Linked DNA regions of Caenorhabditis elegans. The protein of the gene in region 1 purifies or fractionates together with the protein of each later gene. This does not show direct contact. Each region holds a gene or a part of one and is shown on either strand. Other genes may lie near its edges.

Region 1 (6,279 bases):
ACAAAAGGCGTCATCTTCATCATATCGTCATAGATCTAATTCGTCCGATGCTGAAGAGTCTTTAAATGAATGGGACATAGAAAACCAAGAGCTTCTGGATAATTCAATGATGTTTGGAGACGGAATACCAAAGAGAAGCAATGCGAGAAAGGATAAATTTGTGAAAAAGGTGAGTGGTTTTAATTATTTATTTGGTTAAACGACCGTGAAAAAAACCTGACAAATAATATTCATTTTCTAATTTGCTATTAGTCAAGATGCCTCCTGTATTACGTCCTCGTCGCAAGAAAATATCATATAGCTTTCAGCAGGCCACGCGCTCAAAACCGGCTAATTCAACTAAGTCACCAGCCCAAGCTCGCAAAAAGAAGAGAGCATCTTTGGAAGATAACCGTGATCTCAATGATAGTATAGCATGTAATCGTCCTCGTCGTTCTTGTGTAACTCCAGTTGCAAAGAAAATTACATGGAGAAAACAAGATCTGGATCGTTTGAAACGTGTGATTGCGTTGAAGAAGCCTTCTGCAAGTGATGCAGATTGGACAGAAGTTTTACGCCTCTTGGCAAAGGAAGGTGTCGTTGAACCAGAAGTAGTCAGACAGATTGCTATCACAAGACTCAAATGGGTAGAACCAGAGCAAAATGAAGAAGTGTTGAAACAAGTCGAAGAAGTTGAACAGAAAAGAAGACGTGGAGCTGTGGCCAGAGTGAAGGAAAATGTAAAGATGCATGAGGAACTGAGAGAAGGTGGAAATCATAGAGCTGAAGATCTGCAAAGTGGAGTTGAGTCAATGGAAGACTATCAACCAGAAGATGTGGCTGCTGATCAATCATTGCTCGCTCTCAGAACACCAATAGTTACAAAGAAGAGAGGAGGAACAAGAGCTTCAATTATGCCAAAACCTGTTGAAGACTCTCCAATGAGCAGAGGGTAAATTTATACAAAATAATTAGTTTTAAAAAAGCATTAATTTTTCAGAAACAATTCCACATTCAATTCACCGCGTCTAGAACAAACGAAGGCAAAGGATATTGAAACGAACTTCAAATACGTTCAGCACCTTTCCATGATGCAAGCGAGACCTAGTTCCAGACTGAAAAAGTCCTCATCTATGAACAACTCTACGGTAGGTTTAAAAAAGATTGGGAAATTTCATGCAAGCAACTAAATATCTTGCAGTATCGTGGTAACAAGAATACAAGTATTTCGTTAGAAAAGGGAACTCAGAAGGCGTTGAAAATTATTAATCGTGGAACAACAATACACGAAGACGACGAAAATGAAGACAATGATGACGATGATGATATGCGTGAAGAAGACACATCCATCTACTAATCTCTGTGCATGGAATTATTCTACTGCACTTATTCTTTATAACTGTAAATGATGAATTTTTCCTTTTTATACTAGTTTGGTAAAATATTAACTCGATACTAAGTTGCAAATTGTTCATTCTGAAAAATATAAACGAATAGAAATAAATACGTTCGATTGTTCACTACTGAAAACGCCGTAGGAGATGATTATTATAATCAATTAAGCCTTTTGTTGATATTCGATGTCAACGAGCTTGGCAATGGTATTGAGCTGAATGTTGGACGTTCCTTCGTAAATTGTTCCAATTTTTGAGTCGCGGTAGAATTTTTCAACTGGGAATTCCTTGGTGAATCCAACTCCTCCAAGCCATTCCACACATTTCGAAGTGGCTGTAGTGGCAACTTGTGATGCAAACAATTTGGCCATGGCTGCTTCACGAACGAATGGAAGTCCATTCTGCTTCATGCGAGCAGCGTTGTAGACCAGAAGACGAGCAGCTTCAATTTCCATTCGTGTTTGTCCGATTTGGTGTTGCATTCCCTGAAAATTTTTGATAATTACAATATTTTAATTTCAGTCTTTTGACAAATAATACCTGGAAATCTATAAGTCTCTGCCCGAACTGTTCTCTTTGTTGAAGATATGGAATTGTTTGATCGAAACAGCCTTGAGCCAATCCTAACATTTGTGCTCCGATTCCGATACGTCCAGCATTCAGGCACTCGATCGCATATTTGTATCCTATAATAATTAGAAAGTTATTTTTGATTTCTCAAAAACAAGCTTCACCTTTTCCATATTCTCCCAGAATTGACGACTTGTGGACCCGAACGTTGTCAAAATGAACGGAGCATGTAGAAGATGCACGGATTCCGAGCTTGTCTTCCTTCTTTCCAACAGATACTCCTTCTTGATTTCTGTCAACCAGGAAACACGTGATTCCCTTGTATCCTTTGGCTGAATCAGCATTTGCGAAAACTAAAAAGAACTGAGCATGCCCAGCATTGGTAATCCACATCTTTGATCCAGAGATCACAAAGTCATCTCCATCTTTCTTTGCAGTTGTCTTCAATGCAAATGCATCAGATCCAGATCCGGTCTCGGAAAGAGCAAATGATCCAATAGCTTCGGTCACAATTTTTGGAAGATACTTTTGCTTTTGCTCCTCGGTTCCCAACTGAATAATCAACGGGGCAACCAAAGTGTTCTGCACATCTACGAATACAGAAACAGATGGATCAACTTTTGCGAGCTCTTCAATGACGAGAACAGCGTCGAAGAATGATGATCCTGGTCCACCATACTTTTCTGGAATCTCGATTCCCATCAGCTGAAAATAGAGTTTAGTAGATGTTTAAATCCATTAATTTTATATACCCCATTTTCAAAAGTTCCGGTAATTACAGATTGATGCATTTGAGACTTATCGTCCATTTCACGAACAAGCGGCTTGATAACATTCACAGCAAAACGCCGAACGGTTCCAACAATTGAGCTTTCCTCTTCGGAAAGTTGTTGCAGTGGTGATGGTACGTGCCCGTCGATGTGAGCACGAGGCTTCGTAGACATGGTAGCGACGACCGGAGCCGCCGAACGGCTGATGAGAAGAGACCGAGACAAGGAAGACATTCCTGCAAAGCTTCAAATTAAAGAACGAACGAATTTGGAGAGCTGTGATCGAAAACTAGTTCAAAGAAGTTTATGAAAAAACATTAAAATATATGCATCTAAAGAGAACTACACTCTCCGCAAAAAATTGAAAAATCAAAACTACACTTTTTTTCTTTTGATATTTATACTCAACTGGATCACTCTTGACTCGTGAAAAATGATGTTCGGTAGATACACACTGTTAAAATGAACAATGATGTATCGATAGAGCCAAAAAATTGAAAAAAGGAAAAAAAAACTCGGAGAGCGATAGGGAAGAAAACGAGAAGGATGGGCGGACTGAAGAGGCGCAGACGCTGACACTGGCGCTCGTTTGGATAGGATGGACAACTGGCGCGAAAAATAAAGCAAAAGGATATTGTACACAAAATCTGCCAGAAATGCGTATAATTCTGAAAATCATTTTTCTTAAAACAAATAGAGGAAGGAGGAAAAACTGAAAGCTGATTTTTTGAATTTGATTGAATTTATTCCGATTTTTTAAAAACAAACAATTAAGTAATATCAAATATTTTCTGATAGTCTTTGATTAAAAAACTATGAATTAGTGTAGATATTTAAGACAAGTGTCAATTGTCGAGAGAAAATCGTGAATTGTAACAATAAAGAGCTACCGTATTCTTGGATACGGTAGCTGAAAAGGTTTCACTTGTGACGAAGTCGCGACTCAGGACCAAGGGTGTCAGTGTCCCGTAAAAATTACAAAAACGGGACAACGGGAATTCCCGTTCCCGTGAAAATGACAAAAACGGGACAACGGGAATTCCCGTTCCCGCGAAAACACCCAAAAAACGGGACAACGGGACATCCCGTTCCCGTGAAAACGCTCAAAAACGGGACAAAAGACGTCCCGTTCCCGTAAAAATGACAAAAACGGGACAGCGGGAACTCCCGTTCCCGTGAAAATTTTAAAAACGGGACAACGGGAATTCCCGTTCCCGTGAAAACACCCCAAAAACGGGACAACGGGACAAACGGGACAAACGGGACACGGGAATTGACACCCTTTCTCAGGACTGCAAAACAAATAATTTCTCACGTATAAATAATACCACGGGTGTCATACCCACTCTAGTCATTTTCGATTTCGCAAAGTATACATGGAAGCTTCAAAAGAATTTCCCGGATTTCCAAACGATTTTCATGCTTTCGAAGTGTCGCCAATTCCATTCGACGTACGTTTTGCCAGATTCTATAAGCAATCAGTGCACATGTAGACTTTTGCAGATAAACTCTAAAGAGCTTTCATTGAAAAATCACTCGAATCGCGCTATTTTGTTCAAGGTAAGTTATTCATCTGATACTACAACTATTTTCAAAAAAAATATTGAAGGTAAAATGCACAAATAACAAGAGGATTAGAATCGAAGAATGCTCGGATATACTGAAACCTGGTAACGAGACAACGGTTTGTAACAGTCAACATTTGTTTCAAATGAAATCTTGTTTCCAGGCCACTATCAAAAAACTGGTTGACACAGTAGACGGCGATTCACTTTATGTCATTTACACTTTAGTTGGAAAAGAGTGGCACAATGAGCGAATGTCTGCATGGCGGTATTTCGATTCTGAATTTAGATCTATCTTATTTAAACTGCTAATTTGTAGATGCTGGGAGAGAGCAAAGAAGCAGGCTGTACCGACGCAATGCATATCAGTTCCAATCAAAAGATCAAGTGAATGTGAGAAAAAGGAAAAGAAATATGAGAAAGAGAAGACTAAAAGCGAGGATTGATAACTACTTTTGAAAAATAAACTTGAGCGACAGAATTGTTTTTTTTTTAACTTTGGAACACAACCAAAACTGAAAAAGAGTTTAGATTGATATTTGCAAAACTGAAACTTTGAATTGTGCTGATTCGGATTAAGCAAAAAACATGCAAAAACGCGAAAAATTGAGAGAAATAATTATCTAGTTGTCCGAGAGGAGTACGCGATTGCGCGGCCTAGGAAACTTGCGCGGAAGTTTGAATAATAATTAGCCACAAAAGTTTTTCTGGTCACTTTGGAGCCATGTAACTGTCTTTTGAGAAAACGAAAGTCGTCATTTGAATATAAATTCACTATAATGCTTTAATTCTACACTATAAACTTATCCTGCAACGTACGAAATTTGATCGTCAAGTGTTTCTACAGTAACCCATTCACACTGTAAATATTTGGCAGCCCATCGGCCTAAGCGTATAACTTAATTTTAACTTAATTTTGAGGAAATTCAAACAGAGAAATTAACGATATTTTAAAAAGTTATTCTTTAGCGATATTAAAATAAAATAATCATTGTCCGAACTCCACTTTTAAACGTGATGAACATAAAAACACAGAAAAATTGAAATACGTGTAAAATCGTTTGATCGATAATCAATACCTTCAAACTTTATTACTCGATATTCTCTACACTCGATCAGTTGATTCACGAAAAAACACTGAAAATGACGATGAGCGATCCTGCTGTAACACCACAACAAGAAGGACCAGCAGCTGATCCAGCACTCTTGGCAAATGCTGGATGCGTTGCATTAGCCACGGAAGCTGGTATTGACATTGCAATTGCTGTATGTTGCTACTGATGATGAACATTCGTAGGGTTTGTCTTTCAGACGATGCAACAGTTTGGGCGTGAGTTGGAGCAGCTTCCTGAACGAGGACGTAGACTCGCGGAGCAGGCAATGAGCTCAATCTCTACTGTTAATCATAGATCAAAAAGATCATCTGTTTCACAAAGATCTTCTAAATCTAACAGTGGAGTTGAAGAGGATTCATTTGTTCGTATTGTCAACACTTTGGTTGACTTGGTAGGTGCAGTCTCATGATTATCAATATCTAAAATACTGCTTTCTAGTCACCAAGACAAATTTCTTCCAAGCCAATTATTGAAACATTTGTTCTCTCTTCCGTAATCTTGACTGTCTTCTCGTTGTCCTCATTGCTCGGTGGATACATTCTTGCTCCATTCATCTCCTTTCTCATTCCTCCTGTTGGAGCTGCTATTTTCAGTGGACTTGTTGCACCATTGGCTATCTACTATCAGCTGAGCACGGTACTCTATCCGGAATAACTTTGTAAACAATATAATATTCAGGGTTACGGCCCTCTAAATGGATTCCGGCTTTTGGTTATTGCAACAACTGTACAGGGAGTTCTCACTGGATCCGCATTGTCACACGTCTTGATTTCGGCTGAACCATTCGTTGCCCTTTCTACTATTGCATCCTCGTTCATTATTGCAGTGATGAACCCGACTTGTAAGTTGCTTGCGTTAGAAAATACAAAAAAAGTAATTTTAGCTC
Region 2 (6,020 bases), on another chromosome or scaffold:
TTCGAGCAAGAGAGATCCCGTTCCAGATCCAGTTCCTCCAGAAACACTATGAGTAAATAGAATTCCATCCAAATTGTTCGTATTTTCAGCCTCTCGAATGATGATATCCATTATCTTCTCTTGAACTTCTCTTAAATATTATTTATCATTGATTTTCAATTAAAGAAATACAACTCACTGTCCTTGACAATATCCACTTGCCCAATTATTTCCAGCACCACCTCCGTGATCGGACATGAATATATTGTCCGTATTGAAAAGATTCGAAAAGTTTGGAGACTGCATCATTCCGTTGATTACACGAGGTTCTAGATCGACTAGAACTGCTCTTGGCACATAATGATCGTCATCAGCCTGGTAGAACAATAGATCTTTCTTATCATTCATATCGTCTTCGTGAGTTGTTTGTCCACGTCTGAAAACGAAAAAAATTGTTATATTTATCAAAATTATGAGGCTGAATTATGACCTTGAATAAATTGCGTCTTAAATTATTTAACTTAGCAAAAATGTTTGTTTCATCTCAAACAAAAGTAAAATAATTCATATTTTGTTTTCAATCATGTCGATTCACGAGAACAATTCACAATTGCAGCATTTCAGTATTGAAATATAAAAATTGCAATAGTTTTCACATTTCGGACTGTGGTATATCGAATTTTGCCTAATTGAAATTGTCGGTGCCTCAAATTTATTCCCTACTCATTGATTCCATGTTCGTCGACCATCGATTTCCAGAAGGCTTGAGCAAGCTGATTTCCGCACTGTCCAACGTGGACAGTCATCAAGGCACCCGTACCGGACATCTGGAGATTTGGATTGAGAAAATCTTTGATGCAAACAAAAATATGGCATATTTTGAATAAAACATAAAAACGTGAATCACAAATAATTATCTTTGCCAATACAAATTTTTCATTTCAGATTGAAATGGGTGAAGTCAAACAAAAACATCAAAACAACAAAATGGATAACAAATAATGACAAAATGAATAGCAATTTTACGATTGGCTTTGCTCATAAGACTCTTCAAATTTCCCTCTAATCGTGGAAAAAATTTGTTCAACACTTTCGAATGCCTTCGCGAGAACTTCCAGAGCATTAATACCATCCTTTGTCTGCACTCTGAACAAAATCTTGTCTTCCAGAGGATGTGGAACGTTGTAACCACAAAATTCAACTTCATCCCTGAAATTAAACAACAATTACATCTGATCGATTCGTTCGTAAAACATACATTCTGCTCAAAATGTGCTTGATTGAATTTCCAATAGTGTGATCTTCCTCGTACATGATAAGCGTCAAATTAGATGGATCTTGTTCGAAACTTTTTGGGTCCAGCTGTAAAACAGAACATTTTTTTAGAGGAATAGTGTAGAAAACTTACAATTTCCATTTTCTTTTTTGAAGGTACGTTCAAATCTTCTTCGTCGTCCACTTGTGGGGTTTCCTGTGGTTGTTCGTCGACTTCCATTGTTTCTGCTTCTACCTTTTCAGCTTCTTCTACTATCTTTTCATTTTTCTTTCCCATTTCGAGCTGAAAATCACTTTTAATAACTGAAACAGATCAAATTAAAAAAATAATTTTTAAATATTTTCCAAATGAAGCCCCGCCTCTTTTTGCAACGCTCGCACGCAGTTTTTGCAATTGCGAGGCACGCGGAACGGTTTTCGTTATTTTCCGTCTAATGTATTTCGAACGAATGACATATTTATCAGAGATGAAATTGATTGTATTTAGTGAAAAAAAAATTTTATTTTCTCATAAAAGATAAGAAGTAGCATCACGAGGATTGTGAATTCATACCAAACAAATAAACATGTGGTACCGCTCTCAGAAAAAAAACGAGTTGCATAGTTGTAACTATAGTTTGGATGTTAACAAAAGGAAAAGAGCACCACCACTAGACAAAAAAAAATTACGAAGCAAATTCACAGGTTTTGCGTTCAAAAAAATGTTAAGGGGAATAAAAAGTAACGAGTCCAACGCTTATGAGGAAAGAAATTAGAAACACGTGGTGTCAAAAAATGGGGTGAATGAGTAAGAAAAAGAAGATCAAAGTGGATAGTTTCATATGAACGACGAGTTAAATTAATGCTTCTTCTCTGTTGATGCAATGTTCAAATCATTCTTCTTGACTTCTGCGAACACATTGAGCAACTTTCTTTTTGAACTCGGCGTAGTTTTCACGTTGCATTTTCTGAAAAAATTAAAATATTTCGGTTATTTTTCATTGTTTAGACGAACCGCTGCATCAACGTTTGCAGGAGATTCAAAGTTAGGATCCGTGAGCATTGAGATGACAGAAAGAAGGATCGTCTCGACAGTATGCACAGGCAGCCAACGCTCTTCCGGACGTTCGTAACCCCACTTATCATCTCCGGGATCGTGAAGAATCGAGATGCACACGTTACCTTCCTTGTCAACTGAAATATTTTATGTGTAAAATCGACTTGTTTCAGTAAATACTAACTGTTTGGATGCCAAATTTCCGAAATGAACTTCATCTTTGGTGGTTTTTGTGGGTAATCCCTTGGAAAGTCGAGAATAGCCTTGAAGAAACCTCCCTCGCTGCAAGAAAAAACTAATTACAATTTTCACAAACAAACAACTTACTAGAGAGTATCTGGTGGTCCGATCACCAGGACTTCCCATTTGTAGATGTCATTGTCATCGACGAGACCTGCCGAGAATCCGTCGACTGGAACTCTGCGCATGTCTGGAAACAGAAAAAAGTTAGTTTTGATCATAGATCACGTTTAATCCCAACTCACCTGCCAGCTGTTTCTTCAGAAGTAGGGAGGATTGCTCCATCTATCTAGAAATAAATATAGAATTATCGATTAATTTGAATGAAATTAAGCAAAAACGTGGTGTATTTTTCAGGAACACGCACCAATAAATCGATGGTTACGAAATTTCAAAAAATTAAGAAGAGAGTAATTATACTTCTTTTTACGTGGAAAAAATATCGATTGCACATGATTAAACCATTTAAAAATCTTTTGAAAATAAAAAAATAAATTTGAGAAACTAATTCTCGATAAATAGCGGCGACGAAGGTGCCAGTAGCGACTGAACAAGAAAGTGAAAACGTGATTGTCAAAGGCGCACGCATTTTAGAAGTTGGGTCTTGCCACGCTATCTTGAAATGCGCGCTTTTTCAAATTTTAAAAGTTGCAGCGCGAATTTATAGGGTTTAAATACTTATATTTCAAGCCTAGGAATGCAAAAATATGCCTTTAAAATTGAAATAACCGATATTTAGAAATTAAAAAATATAAATGTTTTCCATATTATCCAGACGCGGTATTTTGAGATTTTTGTTTCAAAAGTACGGTACCCGGTCTCGACACGACATAAATATTTTTGTTAAATGTGAAAAGGGCTTCAATGAGTACTGTGATTTGAAATTTTTTTGTTGTTTTTTTCACGATTTTTGTTCATCATCGAAGAATTATGAAAAATCAATGAAAGTTCCGTAGCAACGAGAGTTGAAAAATACAGTACTTTTTAAAGGCGCACATCTTTTCGCAGATAACAAAAATTTATCATGTGGAGATCAGGTACCGTATTTTTGGTACAAAAATCCCAAACTGTCGCGTCTTCGTAATATCCCTGTAATTTTATTGATAAAATCAATTGATTCAAAAGTTTATTCAATTAAAATTTTATTTTCTTCAAAACGAAAATAAAAATTTGAAATATTGTTGTCACACCACGCAAAACGATTGATCGGATGATACAGGATAATTCGAATTTACGAAAAAAAAACTTTTTACATATTACAATGATGGCTCTACTGAAAAAAACCCCCTGAGCAATAGAAAAATGTTCATTTTTTCGGGCGAACATTCGAGGACACACAAAAAATATATATGTTTGAGAACAGACAAAAAAGAACGAAAAAAAAAACGACGAATGATGAATGAAAGATTTGATTAGATTCGAGGGAATGTGTGCCAGTAGAGGGATGACAGCATCCTTCTAATTATTAATAGATCTCGGTGCATGCAGTGAAAGAATTCTTTGAATGATTTCAATAGTGAGACAAAAAAAGTGGAAAGATTGTTTGGGAGGGAGGGGCTTATGAATCGGCGCGAATCGGGAGTCACATTTTTACAAACACGGGTTTTTGAATTCCAGACAATCTTTTAGATGACAATAAAGAAGTGGAATATTTTCAGAAAGGGGGAAAAGTTCACCGACATAAAAGTTAGAAAAGGGGAAGCAATGGCCACGTACAAATCAGGTGTGGGGGTGTGTGTGTGGGGCTATGAGGTATCAGAATGGAGACAGAATCCTATCAGAATATTGCGGCAATGTGAGAAGAAAGTTTGATGAAAGACGTAAAAGACCCAAAAACATGAATGCGAGAATGCATCTACTAAATGGAAAAAAAGAACAACGAATTCAGCTCTAAAACGCGAATAAATGCACATACATAGGTGTAGGAATGGAGAATATTGAGAAAAAAGAAACAGGAGAATCATTTTCTAGAATTGTTTAGTATTGATCCACAAGGCTAGTTGCCAGAATATCAACGTCAGGGATCTCGTATTCTGGAGCAAGGCAATGTACAAACTCGCGGAAGTGAGTATTTGTGAGAAGAGTTTCGTTGTCTGCCCAGAGTCTGAAAAACAATTGATTTATAGTCTGATAAAAGAATATTCTGAAATAGGAAATGGCACTAATATCTTGACAAATATTGCAAATAAATTGTACGGATTCGAACATGTGACAGTTTTCTCAAAACGTGGCAAAAAACTAGTAATTGCCCCTTTTTTTGGCCGTCAATAAAATATTTCAAAAACTTTTGTAAGATGTTTTACTATGATATTTGGTTATTTTGGAACTATGGATGTGGTGTTTAACAATTTCATAACTGATTTGAATTTTTGGAATTGCATTTTTGCTATTGCACTTTTGGAGCAAAACATGCAAAATTTTGCACCTTCACAAGTAGAAATTACCAAAAAAAAAAGTTGCTCTTACCTTGCCAAAGCTTTATCTCTTTCTTGCTTCCGATCATCTTCATTTGAAGAGCACGGTGACTTAGTTTCAGAAGCAATAACACTTCCGTTTAGATCAACAGCAATTGGCTGAGCAGTAGACTGTCCTAGGAAACTTGAGAGCGAGCTGTTTGCAAGAAGGCGTTGGCGGAACTCTTCAAAGTTTGCTGGCTGAAATGATCATAATTTTCAACTATAGGGCTCGAACATTAAAAATACCAACCATAGCTTCCTCCTTCTTCACTTCTTGTCCAGCAATTCCAACAAGAGCAGCAAGTTTGTCAGTGGATGAGAGACCACTGAACATATCATCCTCACTGAAATTATTGAAGTTAAGCTTTTGTTTCAAATAATTGTATTATTAATAACTAACCACTCTTTCTTAATCTTGATTTCTCCATTTTGAATAACATTTGGTGATTGAGATCTTGCGAATGATTGACTAATAATTTGTTGTACTAATTGAGGTGTTTTCGGTGTTGATGGGAAACTTGAAGAGTTTGGAGTTGGTGGTGTTGTCACATTACCTCCACCTCTGATATAATCGATAAGTTCAGTTTTAAATTTATTTCCAGGTCCAAAACATCCTTCTTCTAATCTCATTTCTTCTTCCAATTGAAGAACTTTCTCATAATCATCCTTGTGATGAGCCTTCAAGTGCATTTTCAAGTTTGTAGAGAAAGCGGATCCAGTTCTGAACTCGCAGTTTGTACATCCAACCATCTGAAAAACATACAATATTGCAACTATTACTTCACAGCGATAGACTCACTCTATCTTCAAGATCCTTGAAATAAACCCAAACTGGATGACGTCGAAGGCGACGACGTTTTGGTTGTGGAACTCCGTTGGCATCAGTACCATGTGGAGCATTCATAATTTCTTGTTTGATGTGAGCTGGGAAATTGAGGGTATTTATGATGTTATCTTGAGACACTTGTGGAACGGCTGAAAGCAAAAATTGTAAAATATTTGTTGGATCTGATCCTTCTTTGACTACACGTTAA
Region 3 (5,866 bases), on another chromosome or scaffold:
TTATTGATTTTCGACGATTTTTCAAATTAATAAATTTAAACGATTGTTTTTTTTTCAGAAAAACTTGAAAAAATTATAAATTTTCAAATTTTGCACCCTTTTTCCACAAAAAACACTCAAAATTGCCAAAATATTTGAATTTTTCACATAAAACGTCGCCAAAACTTCTTCTTCCGTCGAAAAATCGAAAATTAGCTGTAAAAATGAATTTTTCGAGTTTTTTTCATGTTTGAAAACAGAAAAAAAACCGTATGGCCTCTTCCACGGCCCTGTGTCGATTTACGCAGCTGTGTTCTCCACGAGGAGAAGTGTATCACAATTTTCCGGCTAAAATGCTTGATTTTTAATTATTTTTTCGCGATCTTGTTGTAAAAAACACTTAAATCGCCATTTCTAGGCGAAAATCTAGGTTTCTATTGTTGAAAATATGAAAATTCTTCGTTTTTAGCAGTAGTAAAATACTTTTCCATCTGAAAAAGGCAATTTTAATGTTAAAAAAGCGAAAAATGGCCCGAAAACAGTGAAATTCTCCTCCTCGAGGAGTACACGAGCTGCGTAAATCGACACATTATCGATTTTTTCGATTTTCCGGCAAATTTTCGAATTTTTCATTCAACTTTTGAATTTTTCATTCAATTTACGAATTTTTTTATCCAATTTCTCGATTTTTTTTTGGCTAATTTTCCGATTTTCCCGGAAAGTTTCTCGATTTTTCGGCTGATTTTTTGAATTTTTCATCCAATTTTGTGACATTTCCAATTCGAATCCGATTCCGTACCAGTTTTGAATAATTCGAGTAAATCATAAAATTGTCCATGAATATCTCCACAAATTGTGACAGGCGACGAAACGGGCACCACATTGGCTTCCAGTGATAGACGATCGATTAATCTGAAAAAATGTTCAGTTTTTGAGCCGAAAATTGCTGAAAATTGCTTTTTTCTTACGTTGCACAAAGAGCAACAGCGTCAGATTCGGGCAAGTATTTGCATTCGCTCGCCCACGTAATCCATTGCTCCGGCTCTATTTTTCGAGATCTGGAAATGAAAAAAATTAAGTTTTGTATAATTTTGGAGCTGAAATTTAAGTTTTTTTTTAGAAATTTGCAAAAAAATTCGAAATTTTTCGCAGAATTTTTCAATTTTGAGTAAAAAAAATCAATTTCCAAGCTCAAATCGCCTAATGTAGATTTACGCAGCTCGTGTACTCCCCGAGGAGAAAAATACTAGTTTTCGACTAAAATGCTAGATTTTACATTTTCGCTGTTTTTTAAAAGTTTAACGTTCAAATCGCCGATTTTTCGCTTTTTTGGTAATTTTTATGCTGAAATTCAGCATTTTTAATATGGAAAACTGCTGGAAACGATGATTTGTAGTCGATTTTCATTTAAAATAATTAAAATGACAATTTTAATGTTAAATTGGTCAAAAATTGAGCATTTTCTCCAAAAACTATAAAAATCTTCTCCTCGAGGAGTACACGAGCTGCGTAAATCGACACAAAGCGATTTGTGCTTGGAAAATCGCATTTTTCGCTTGAAATATCCAAAATTTGGTACCCAATAAAATGCGTTGTGCTCTTTTCGAGCTCTCCTTCATCGCACACTGTCACCCGAAGAAGGTTTGTGTCGATCATTCTGAAAATTTTACGGTTTTAAATGAAAAAGAAGCTTTTTTCCTGTTTAAAATTAAAAAATATATGAAAAATGGCTGAAAACCTATCGAAAAAGTGGAAAAAAGGGAATTGAAACTCAAAAATTGTTCATTCGAATCCTATAAAACGGCGGGAAAAAGTGATTGGAGTGTGATGAAATAACGGAAAAAACAGAAAAACAATAAAAATTACTAGCTATTCAAAAAAAAACTACAAAAAACCGGAAAAACATTAAAAAACCAGAGGAAAATTAAAAGAAAATTATTTAGAGACGACTCCAACTTGAGCAGGCCGAATTGGACGTTCTTTCAGGCTGTAGCCGATCTTTGTACACACTTCGATATGTCCGACAGGTTGTTTGGCCTGAAAATGGAGGAAATTAAGCATTTTGTGGCATTTAAAAAGGATTAAATAAGCCCAAATTGTTCAAAAAATACAAGATTTGGCTCTTTTATTTCGGAAAATTCGGGCGGTTAGCACTAACATTAGCAGATGGAATCTGGAAAACGGCTTCGTGGAGATTGGGGTCGAACTTTTCATTGGTTGGATCCACGGTCACAAGGCCATGCTTTGCGAATGTCTTTGCCATGACAGTACGGGTCATTGAAACTCCTTCGAAAAGATCTTTCAGAGCTTTTCCTCCCGATTCCAGATCTTCTGGCTTCACAGACTTGACGGCAATGTCGAGAATATCGGAGACCTGCAAATTTGGAATTATTTTAATTGTTTTTCGGTTGATTTTGATTTTAAAAATCGAACCTCAAGTAAATCTTTGCAGAATGATTGGATTGCAAAAACCTTAGCATCGTCGGTTTGCTTGATACCTCGCCGACGAACATTTTCAGTTTCAGCAAGCGATCTTTGATATTTATCCTTAAAATCCAAGCTTTCGGCCTGCAAATCGTCGTATTCCTTGAGAAGAACATCAAAAGCACCCTTTGGAATCTGTGTCTTGTCCTCGCCGGCAATCGAAGTAAGAACAATTTCTTCATAGTCGGCTCCTGGTTTTTTTTTAAATATTATATCAGTTTTTAGAATTTAGAATTTGTTTTAGAGTAAAAATCGCTACCTCTGAGTCTCTTTCCGTCTTTTCTAATCTCATAATTGACTTCTTCCGATGATTGTGATGCCGTGGCGCTGAATCTTTGAATGCGCAAGTTTTTCTGAGTTTTCCTGCAATGAAAAAATTTGATTTTCACCGTTATTCAAAATTCAAGGAACTTACAGCGTTTGTTGAACAGCCTGGCCGACGAAAGACACTCCTTTGCGCAGCATATTGTCTGAAATTGCCAAAATTTGAAGAAATTAGGAATAAAAAACGAAAAATCGGCGGAAATTGGTAAAAAACGAAGAAAAAATTAATAAATTTCATCATGACAAGAAATGCGCCAGCACATGACTCAAGTGCGCCAGTAACGTGCTGGCGTGATTTTCGTGCGTGTCTGCGTCTCCATGCTTTGCACACTCTTTTCGAGGAGTTTTTAAGCGGCAATTTAAAGTGGAAAAGGGCAAACTGTAGCAGTTTTTTCTTAACTTTTTCTGCAAAAATCTGTGTATTTCCGCAAAAAAACACAGCAAATCCAACAAAAAATTTATTATCAATGCTCTAAAAGCCTTAAACACAAAAAAACCAAGATTTGTCACTTCTTATGTTCGCGTTCTCCATCAAAATCTGGTCGCTTCGGTACAAATCGATATTTGACAATTTTCGAATCATCTTTTCCATCAGTCACAGGTTCCAGGTGAGCTTTCGCGAAATGCGGTGATGTGACTGGAAATCTGGAGCATCCTCTGAACGTGACGCTTTCTCTGGATTTCACGTAACTCGGCGCATGTCGGCGCTGACCTTTCCATTCTGGGGGACGCTGAAAAAAAAGTATGTATTATTGCAAGTGCGCTCCAGTAAACTGAGCGATTCCGGCTGTCACTCACTCTTAAGGCATTCAAAGCACCCGGACTTGGAATTGCATATCGAGCTGGCTGGGCTATTGGTTTTGGCACATATCTCGGAGCACTTGTGCTGGTAGATCCACTGGAAGAGCTGCTGATTGGCTCAACACGAGATCTGTAAAGAGTTGAGGAGATATCCGGCATGTCAAAATGATCTGATTTCTTCGAATTTTCGGGCGGTGCAGAGCTTCCGGTGGTTGAAGAACTACTTTGAACTTCTTTTGAATCAAATATATTGTGAAGTGCTGTGGCAATGTCGGGCATCTGCAATAATTTTCCATTTTTGCCAGTTTCATATTCAAATTACCGCCAAGAGACTTTGTTCAATAGAGCGCGCTTGCATTATTTTAATTTTTGTTTTTTTTTTCTCATCAATTCTCTGAACTTCTTCATTTTTTGTGAATTTTCACTGAAAATTTGAATGAAAAGTCAAGATAAATGCAAATTGTTCATTAGCTTTTCAAATTTTCAGTAAAAATACACAAAACATGAAGGAATTCAGTGAAATAATTAGGACAAAAAAACAAAAACAAAAAATAATGCAAGCGCGCCCCATCGAACAAATCGTCTTGGCGGATTTTTTCATTTTCAAAAGTTTTTTATTGAAAAAACCTTAAAATTTGACTTTTTTTTCCTGAAAAATTGAAAAAATCGATACTGACAGATTGGCAAAATTTCGCGGAATTTTAAGTAAATTTTTTAGCAATTTTTTTCGTTATAACTAACAGGAGATTTCTGGCTTCCGAGAGCTCCATTATCTTTCTTTTCTGACTCAAATCCTCCAATTGTACTCGAAGAACTATTCATTTCGTCCGATTCCACCACCACGTGAGATTTGTAAGGCGTTGAGGAAATATCCGGCATGTCAAAATGGGCTGATTTCTTCGAATTTTCAGGAGTTGCAGAGCTTCCAGTCTTCAAAAACGAGCTCATTCCTTCTGACTGAGCTTTGTAAGAGGCTGAGGTGAAGCCTTCTGGCTTGATATAGCGAAATTCTGGTCTCTTAATATATCCTGGAATAAGCTTCAAGTTCCTGGAGTTACTTTCCGAGCTAAAATTGAATGGTTTTCCTGAATTCACCACATATCTAACTTCTCCAGTGTTCAGCTGATCCGAAATTTGTGTTCGGCCTGGAGGGCCTGGAGATGCTGTGATGGGCTTTCTGGAGCTGCTGCTGGTGCTTTCAAAATAGAACGGCTTCCCATAGCACGCAGAACTTGTGCTGGGCTGATCAGGCTTCAGATATTTCGCTAGAGGACTTCCGAAGTCACTTGAATCTTCCCCATCCTGGGTTCTGTCAGACATCAATGAAATATCCTCTGGATTTATCAGCTTTACATCAGGCTTCTTCCTTGGTGTAGGCTTTTTGATGCCGACTTTTTTTTCGATTTTATCAATTTTCCATTTCACTTCCGACACGTCTTTCCGACTTTTCTGCAGCTCTTTCTTGAATAAATCTGCGAATTTCCACGAATTTCGAACTTGAATCGATTGGTTTGAAATTTGTGATTCTTTAGCTTTGTTCTCCTTCATTAGTTTAACATTTTCTTTTTGAATATTCACAAATTCCACTGAAAACACTTTAATCTCATCCTCTCGCATTGTCAATTTCTCCGTTAACGCAGCTTTTTCTTTTTCCAATCGTTCAATTGTTCGTTGTAGATGTACAATAAATTGGGTTTGATCACCACGAGAAGATGGATTTAGAGTGATTGAATTCGATGTTGATGGCGTGTTTTTCTGAAATTTAGAGAAAAATTGAAAAAAAATTATGGAAAATTTAGTTTTTTCATGATTTTGAATTATCGGCGAATTGCCGGAATTGAAAATTTCAGGCAAATCAGCAAATTGCCGGAGTTTAAAATTTCCGGCAAATTGGCAAATTGCCGGGATAGAATTTACCGGCAAATTTCGGGCAAATCGTCAGATTATCAGGAATTGTAATTCCCGGCAAATCGGTAATTTGCCGGAATTGAACATTTCTGGCAAATCGGCAAATTGCCGGAATTGAAATTCTCGGTTTTTAAGAATTTTTCGCAATTTTTTGTTTGCTTTTTCGGAATTTGTTGAGAACTTTTTTTCGGTTTTTAATAATTTTTCACAAGTTTAAAAATTTTTTCATAATTTTCGGGATTTTCTTGAATAACAAAATTATCTTTAAAAATTTAGAACAACAAATGGCAAAAAATCTGGAAATTCCTTTAGAAAATTTGTAATTTTTTCAGCTCAAAAATAGAAAAATTCCAAAAAATTTCTCATTTTT

What was found. Proteins that work in one complex are often made in the same cells at the same time.
Region 2: the proteins of acdh-3 (region 1) and ubc-7 fractionate together in Caenorhabditis elegans (co-fractionation; one large-scale study listed by BioGRID). This does not show direct contact.
Region 3: the proteins of acdh-3 (region 1) and C34C12.8 fractionate together in Caenorhabditis elegans (co-fractionation; one large-scale study listed by BioGRID). This does not show direct contact.

Annotation. Positions count from the first base shown.
Region 1 is NC_003279.8:6,462,761-6,469,039, forward strand, and holds acdh-3 (Short/branched chain specific acyl-CoA dehydrogenase, mitochondrial), read right to left. Parts: upstream 2,950-6,279; 5' UTR 2,948-2,949; coding exon 2,696-2,947; intron 2,649-2,695; coding exon 2,108-2,648; intron 2,060-2,107; coding exon 1,914-2,059; intron 1,859-1,913; coding exon 1,538-1,858; 3' UTR 1,437-1,537; downstream 1-1,436. Other genes in the region: knl-2 (Kinetochore null protein 2), read left to right, coding at 1-169, 309-931, 980-1,127, 1,181-1,336; K06A5.3 (Major sperm protein), read left to right, coding at 4,090-4,164, 4,217-4,273, 4,323-4,397, 4,443-4,546, 4,598-4,724; K06A5.2 (DUF389 domain membrane protein), read left to right, coding at 5,422-5,544, 5,590-5,784, 5,832-6,029, 6,072-6,234, 6,277-6,279.
Region 2 is NC_003281.10:9,628,349-9,634,368, forward strand, and holds ubc-7 (putative ubiquitin-conjugating enzyme E2 7), read right to left. Parts: upstream 2,820-6,020; 5' UTR 2,816-2,819; coding exon 2,776-2,815; intron 2,721-2,775; coding exon 2,618-2,720; intron 2,573-2,617; coding exon 2,475-2,572; intron 2,428-2,474; coding exon 2,249-2,427; intron 2,202-2,248; coding exon 2,127-2,201; 3' UTR 1,749-2,126; downstream 1-1,748. Other genes in the region: tbg-1 (Tubulin gamma chain), read right to left, coding at 1-130, 179-415, 703-806; rpac-19 (putative DNA-directed RNA polymerases I and III subunit RPAC2), read right to left, coding at 1,002-1,188, 1,238-1,341, 1,388-1,531; gei-13 (Gex-3-interacting protein 13), read right to left, coding at 4,508-4,634, 4,997-5,184, 5,237-5,330, 5,387-5,736, 5,786-5,961. UniProt on the Caenorhabditis elegans protein: Catalyzes the covalent attachment of ubiquitin to other proteins.
Region 3 is NC_003281.10:3,457,473-3,463,338, reverse strand, and holds C34C12.8 (GrpE protein homolog, mitochondrial), read right to left. Parts: upstream 2,934-5,866; 5' UTR 2,929-2,933; coding exon 2,879-2,928; intron 2,827-2,878; coding exon 2,723-2,826; intron 2,655-2,722; coding exon 2,413-2,654; intron 2,354-2,412; coding exon 2,138-2,353; intron 2,017-2,137; coding exon 1,915-2,016; 3' UTR 1,749-1,914; downstream 1-1,748. Other genes in the region: pph-6 (Serine/threonine-protein phosphatase 6 catalytic subunit), read right to left, coding at 779-891, 948-1,037, 1,559-1,635; C34C12.2 (Fibronectin type-III domain-containing protein), read right to left, coding at 3,294-3,518, 3,586-3,867, 4,330-5,343. UniProt on the Caenorhabditis elegans protein: Essential component of the PAM complex, a complex required for the translocation of transit peptide-containing proteins from the inner membrane into the mitochondrial matrix in an ATP-dependent manner.